Linked DNA regions of Saccharomyces cerevisiae S288C. The protein of the gene in region 2 interacts with the protein of the main gene of each other region in a pairwise test. Each region holds a gene or a part of one and is shown on either strand. Other genes may lie near its edges.

What was found.
Region 1: the proteins of PMT7 (region 2) and AUS1 interact in a protein complementation assay, tested with the Saccharomyces cerevisiae proteins (one study listed by BioGRID).

Annotation. Positions count from the first base shown.
Region 1 is NC_001147.6:347,626-351,556, reverse strand, and holds the start of AUS1 (ATP-binding cassette sterol transporter AUS1), read right to left. Parts: upstream 1,879-3,931; coding exon 1-1,878. UniProt on the Saccharomyces cerevisiae protein: Transporter involved in the uptake of sterol.
Region 2 is NC_001136.10:1,074,066-1,077,996, forward strand, and holds PMT7 (putative dolichyl-phosphate-mannose--protein mannosyltransferase), read left to right. Parts: upstream 1-1,799; coding exon 1,800-3,788; downstream 3,789-3,931. Other genes in the region: PFU1 (Pfu1p), read right to left, coding at 1-1,106. UniProt on the Saccharomyces cerevisiae protein: Probable protein O-mannosyltransferase involved in O-glycosylation which is essential for cell wall rigidity. Transfers mannose from Dol-P-mannose to Ser or Thr residues on proteins.

The DNA.
Region 1 (3,931 bases), on a different chromosome or scaffold from region 2:
CTTCAAGTAATCACGGCCTCTAACGTAATCATTACCCAGAGTAGCACCTTGCCAAGCACAGGCCTTATGGGAAAATGGAACATCGTTGTAAGTAGGACCTCTTGGAACAATTGTCTCACTACAATCCAGCTTCAAATTGTAAAGCTCATTAGACAGTATTGCCTCCATAGCGTACATTGCAGGATTTAGATAAGCAATCCATACAAACCAAGGATGCATATTTTTCAGGTAGATGACGTAAGAAGCATACATTGCTATAGCTAGTAGCAGAATACCTGCAAATAAATTTGCAACTGAAATGGTTGGAGCAACTAGTGTCGTCAAAGCGAATAAGGACACCATACAGAAATTGTAAAAGGAAAGGAACAGGAGGAAAATGAAAAATCTTGCAGCCTTGTATTGCAGGTGAGCAAGGAAGTATAGGATGATACTGAATACAATTACCAAACAAAGTTTAAAGCAGTAGTCGAACACTGTTGTTGAAAGGGTTTCAACCCAGTTAGTATAGAAGTGAAGTTGGGATTGCTTTTTAACGACGGGTTGTCTTTGGAAGGCAATAGGCATATCTGCAAGAGAAAGAAAAGTGAAGAAAAGAATGGAGAAAAAGGTTAAAGAACCTCTTGAGTATGAACCAATGGTAGTCAACGGAATTTCGTAAAACAGTGAACCAATGACCAAAGATTGAATAACGACAGAAATAAATTGTGCCGTCATATAAGCTTTATCACCCAAACTTCGTTGAAAAGCTCTTTTTGTGCAAAATAATAATTGTTTCTTCAACGGAATATTAAAAATAGGTGAGACATCAGAGGGATCCACTTCCTTAATGGAGTCATCAATTGAAGACCCCTGGATTTGCTGCTTTATATTTCTATAGTACGAAGAATGTTTCCATTGATCATATAAATCGAAATCAGAATTATAAGTATACTTAGTGACTTCCCCTGTTGCGGTTTTGAGAACGCTAGCAGATGATGAATTTGATAAATTCCCCAAATTTTTATTTTTGAACTGAAAATTTAAGATAGAGGTCAGATATTCAATAATACAATCGTTAGGATCTTTCTCAATACCTAAAGTGTCACGAAAATAAGTCAAACACTCATCGACCGTACCATAGAAAAGCTGGTAGGAATCGGATAGCATAAGAATCTTGTCAAACTTATCAACAATTTTATCACTTGCCTGGGAAATTCTGACTAAGTTTACAGAACGAGTAGCTTTTGCCATTTTTCTAAGAATTTCCAAAAAATCGAGAGCTGTGGCGGAATCTAAACCTTTAGTAGAATTATCCCATAGATAAACGGAACCATTAGCAATAAACGTTTCAATAATAGAAATACGTTTACGCTCACCACCAGAAACACCACGGAAAAAATCATTTCCTACAATAGTTTTCAATACATGAGACAGGCCGAATTCTCTTAGAAGTTCATTTCTTATTTGATCGCGCTCACCTTTTGGAATATCGAACTTACAACTCAAGGCAAAATCAATTGTTTGTTCTACCGTTAGAAATGGGAAATGCACATCTTGTTCATTATTGTAAATGATTTGGTGGGGACATTTTTCGGAAAAGCTCTTAAACTCATTATTTTTAAATTTAATCGAGCCTGGAGGAGAGTATGACAAACTAGTTTTACCATGAAACAAAGTCTTAAATAGAGTGGATGTGGGATAACCCAAAACCAAAACCATTTCACCAGCCTCTGCTTGGAAGGTTATGTCATTTAGTTGATTTGCCGGATTCGGCATGCTGTCCTCAGCGTCATAACTCTTTTTTGACTCGCCTTGAGCATCGGCGCCAAATTGAATGTTCGCGCCATTGAAAGTGAGTGACCCGTCAGCAACGGGAGTGAAGTACTTTGAAATTGACATATTAATTCCAGAAAAAGCAGACTGCAAGGACTGAGAGATGAATTACAGCAGTCTTTACTATTCAGCTAATGCCTTCTCAAGTATGTTTTTTTTTTTTTCAATATGGATTTTTATGTCCAATAACTATTCAATAACTGCTTCACAGAAACGGTACTAAGGCTAGGGAAAACTTTACTTTTAGAACTGTTCAGTGCCTTAGAAATAAGGCAAAGGCACCGTCTTTATATTCGAGTTGGAAAATAAGAGTAGAAAGGACACACATTTGTGTTTTGCTCTGTCACATCGTACAGGAGGTAAGCTGCTGTGGCTGTAGTGACACTGAAAGGGACGCTGCTGATGAGCTCGTTTACAGTTCATCTAGCCTGTATATGGAGTGATCTTCAGGCACTCTCTTTGAAACTACCGTAGTTAATCGAAAAAAGGACCTGGAACGACAGCGCGTAAAAAGAAACGAGGAGCAGCAGTGCCTATAAGAGAATTCTCACTTTTCTATTGTTTAGTAAAAAGGTGTGCAATCCCCTTTGCCTACGAAGGCACATGACAATCACGTAAGCAAACGACGCTCTCTATTGTAAACCGTTCGTATGGCTTACTTTGCTCCATAAAGAGGAGGAAAGCTACAAATAAAATAACCTGTATGTACATATTACTCTATATGATTTAAGCTAATGACAAGGGGATATATGCAGTCTAATATTAGAACACGGTTTTTGCCCCTATGTTTCTTTGGATGTACTACTGCACCTGTATGCATCTGGCCTTTCGTTTATTGAGGGCAACTATGAGGGCAGAAGCTTTTGTGAAAGTTATATAAAGAAGAACTATCACAGAGGAAGGGAGGGACAATATCTATAGCGACAACGATTACGCAACGTTTCCTCCATATTGTAGTGATAAGTCAATGAACAGTGAATCCTAATTGATATGAAGTTATTGTTACTACAGTATGAATAAAGTTATGTTGAATAACATTGCTTTCTTTTTGATCGCTTCCTGAAATTGGTGCAATGGGAGCGAATTCCAAGTAACTCGTATAATTTTTTTTTTTCATAGGCCTGCGTGCTCTTCAACGTCAGGCATTAAAAAAAAAGAAACTGAAAACAAGTCAAAACAAAATTCGACCAACAACTACGAATCAAATTAAAACAAAACTTAGTCAACAACTGTAGTGCGTTGGCTGCTAATAATACGTTCTTGTAAGTATAAAAAGCAGACCTTCACCGCTTAATTGCTTTCTAATCATTTCTCACTTCTCCTTAATTAATTAATAAATTTGAAAACTGGTATCCTGTGCCAAAACATTTTCAATCAGTAGGTAAATAACTGTCCTTTGGTGAGGAAAAGTTAACTGCGCGTAACTATTTATCAACTATCCCTATATTTGTAACGTCAAATTACAAAATCGTATTTTAGTAGTCTTGCAAATGGTTTTCTGTTCCCATTATAGCAAAGACACCGGGTGACCATACTTTTTTGTAAACAAGAAACTTTTATTTTTAAAATCAAGTTCTCTGACTGTCAACACTAATGTATGCAGACACGACAAACAATTCATGTTTTGCGTACAAATAGTTCCTACTAAGTTCGGCATACATAATGTAGGCGTAATCTCTAAAAGTAAAGGAGAACTTGAACGATACTAAAATAATGTAATGTTGGAAAAAAATAAGGTATCAAATCTAACCATTTCACAAGGTACTCAAAAAAGATCCTATGTGAGTTAACAAGAAACTTAAAACAATCCATTACCTGCCTAGTATAATTTTTTTAGACCAGAATATGACTCCATAAAACGTGAAGCAGCAGCTAGAAAAACGACGCCTCGGCGGAGTTTGCGTTTAACTCTCATGTGCGGCCAAACAGGTGCGTAAGAGCTGTGACTATTTAATTATGTAATATTTACGGAAAAAGGAGTGGACAAAAAAGGCGTGAATTTTACTCCACTGGCGGTAGCCGCCTATAAAGAAATTGATAAGAGGCGTGCCTCTTATGCGATCTTCGGACCAACAACAAAGCACACAATAGCGCAAAGTATACACAATAGAGAGCCTGT
Region 2 (3,931 bases):
TCTAGGGAATTTTCTGCCAGAGATGGCATCGGATAATGAAAAAATAAATGCTTTAAATTATCACCGATCTGTGATAACAACGAATAAATAGACAATTCCGTTATTTGAGGACAATAAGAGAATTCTAAAGTTGTAATAGTTGTTGGCCATTTCGTATCAATCACAAATTCATTTGTTATACCTCCACTCAATTTCAAGTACCTGAGATTCTGTGGCCATTGAATATCTTGGAACCCTTGGCAGTCAATCGACGATCTGGGAAAAGATAAATGCGTTAATTTAGTGAAATTTTTAATGGCAGAAAATAACTCCTTCAGCTTAACTGTTTCCGATACTAAACCCAAGTCTAAAAATTTCAAATCATGACACGATTTCAATGAAATCAAAGGCGCGTAACCAAAGCTTGTCTGTGGTGCGATGAATTTAGTTAGGTTAGAACAGCATCGTCGTAAAAGCTTGGAGACAAATGAATTTCTACCACTTTGTAAAATTGTAGACAAGTTCAACTCAAAAACATAGTGTCCTAAATTCTTCTTTTTATTTATGATTATTGTATCAACAAACCCGTTGAAATTCTTACTTGTTAACGCTGGTGCATAATAAAGCTTTGGTAGACACATGGCGTACCAGTTTCTGCAAACTAGTAAGTAGTTCATATTTATACCAGTCGTAGTTTTTTTTCCATTAGCAGTTTTATTTAATTTTTCTTCTTTCTCTGGTATATCAAGATAATGAATTATTCTATGCTGTATCTCCCATGGCAAAACCATCTTTACTGATACTGAATGCATCCTCGCTTCCTCACTCTCTATGACTTTGCCATTTTTTTCTCCTTTGGAGGACGATGTCGATGATGACGATGGCGACTGCTTACGTCCTTTTTTATCCTTTTTTTCATTACTCAGTCGTGTCAATTTCACTATAGTATCATTGGTTTCATCATAGTAATAAGACCCCTGTGGAGTCTCAATGAGTTCTGCATCCTCCGGTATAGTGATAGTGAATTCTTTAGCCTTATTATCATTTCTTGTAGAGGAGAAACCCTCTCCCGCCACGTACTTCCTGTAAGGAGCCTTGATTTTCTTGGGTCGTGATTTGTTTGCCATTACTGAGTACTGTGGTTGATATGATTATGTGTTAGAGCTGTTGCACATGTTTGTCGATGTACAAATCTTGACGATGCCGTCATATTACTCTCAATACTAGACACATCTTGTATTGACAACCCTTACCCCTCATGAAGAGGTAACCCGGCCGCAGGGCTTTAACAATAAAATAGAGACTATCATTCAACAATTACACAGTAGAAAAAAGTCAGAAGATTACTAATCTCGATCTTAAGTCTATTAGTCAATTAAATGTGGCCTAGGATTCAACTAAAAATATAGTAGTAGTGAAAAAACAAATGTTCCAACCGAGGATCGAACTCGGGACCTTTGCCGTGTGAAGGCAACGTGATAGCCGCTACACTATTGGAACAATATTACGGATGACAGCTTAGGATTCATAAAGAACTAATAAAGGTGTGGCAATAAAAATGGTGCAGCAAGTCTCAACTTTACTGCTTCTTATAGTTACTTCCTGTCGTTTTCATCACACTAACCCTTTGTTTCATTGTGCTCCCCTTCCCTTCCTTTCAATATTGCTTCCTACATCGGTCACTCTTACTTTGGTAATGAAGTAATGAAGAAAGGAAAAATAGAAAATCGAATACTAAAAATGTTATTATTTAAGGAGAATAAGAACGTAGACACTTAAGGGCGATAGTGTTTGAACAGAAAAAAATTAACTTACAAAACATGAAGGACTTGAGATTACAGGGGCCCTACAGAAAGTACATTCCCTATAATATTTTCCAACAATGTGGAATTGGTCACTTAAAGACGCTTGATTATATTTTCGCGTTTTTGATTGTTATTACCAATTTCACATTAATATGGAAATCGCACTCTTCTTCATTCTGGAACCGACCATGGGACAATAATAGTGAACAAGAACTTTCCCAATTAATTCAGTTTTACCTAGACAAGGCTTTTTACATCCATGAATTGCCACCATTTACAATACAGTTCTACTCCATTATTCGAAGATTAAAGATCGCAGAAAATTTAAGATACGTTTCTTTGTTTTTGAATTCATCGACTTTAGGTTTTCTTTTCCTGATAACAAGGAGAATCAATTGCTCTCGTTTAATTTCAGCAACAGGTTTGCTGATATTATCCAACTGGGAAACTTTCAGAAATGAGGGCACTATTATATCATTTGACAGTTTAGAATGGTGTCTGTTCTCAGTAGTAATTTACAGTTTTATAAGCATTTCAATTGCAAAACTGGGAACTACGAATTGGTTTGCTAATGTGATTACATTATCTATTTCTTTAGGGCTGGCAATCTCTTCTAAATTTATTGGAATTGTCACTTGGGCCTTCGTAATTCTTTCTTTTGTACGTCAATTTGATAGACTGATAAGCGACGTTAAAGTTACGACCATCCAAATAATAAAATTTGTCATTCTCTGTCTATTATTCGTTTTGATTATCCCTGGTTCCATCTTCATAATAAGTTATTCGAACTTACTTTCGAATTTTAAGACAGACACGCCACAATTTTCAAAATATATGAGCACATATTTCAAGTCCTATTTAAGAGGCCCTCAAGTACAACCGAGTCGATTGTACTATGGATCAACGATCACATTACGTCATTTAGATTCTATGGTCGGATATCTTGCTTCTCACGATATTTCGTATCCATCAGATGTTGACGAACAGTTAGTAGCGTTATCATTTGAAGAATTCGCGGCAGACAATGAATGGTTAATAGAACATCCTACATTAAATTTGAGTTTTTCTGAGGTATACCATGCTGATCAATTGATACCTGTAGAATTTGGTCAAAGTATAAAACTAAGACACAAATCTACTGGAAAATTATTGAGAGCCAGCACTGCTAAACCTCCCATCAGCGAGCAGGACTATGACTTTCAAATTTCATGCACGAAAGATTCAAACTACGAAGGAGGAATGGATGAGAGATGGGATGTTCTCCTGATTAAAGATGAAATCAACAATGATAAAAAGGATAACGCAGATGATAAATACATTAAACCGCTTCAATCAGAGATACGCTTTTACAATAACGGCCAGAGATGTGGGCTATTGGGCCATGATCTTCGGTTACCTGAATGGGGCCGCTTTGAGCAAGAAGTCCTATGTATGGAGTACCCAGTAATACCAAGAACCACTTTTCTAATAGACTCAGTACAACTACCAGTCGATTTCCAAGTCCCAATGATAGAATATTATATCGGCAAAATAAGTTCTTCAGCAGAATTCAATCATACCTTATCTTGGTCACAATTTCTTTATCTTTTCAAAGAATATATTTTCAAACAATACAAGTACAATTACTATATTAAATACGGTAAAAATAAGGTCACTTTTGAAGATGCGTTCGCCGTGGAAAAATGGCCAATTACGTTAGACACAGACTCTCCAGTTTGGTTTAATTTTGCATGGTATGGATCCTTACTCTCGATGATCATTTTCATGTGCGTGCAATGTAAGAGAATGATATCTTGGAATCCGTGGACAACTGCTGAACCTTCCTTTTCTATCAAATGGGAGGTCTACAATGAATTTGGCTGGGAGTGCATTGTCGGTTGGTTTTTACATTTTTACATCTTCACAATGAGTCCACACTTCAACTTGGGGAAAAAACTGTACTTCCAAAGTTTTTTCTTTAGTGTATTGTGTCTTTTAGAATCGTTAGATTGCCTTGCAAAGTAACTCGTAGAAAGATTTTCTCCATTATGATTTTTCTCCCATTGCTTCAATAATTCTCCGGTACAAATAGAGTAGCACAATTATTTATAAGAATAACATACATACGCTTAACTCTGCCATATAACTATAGTACATTTTCTGTCCTC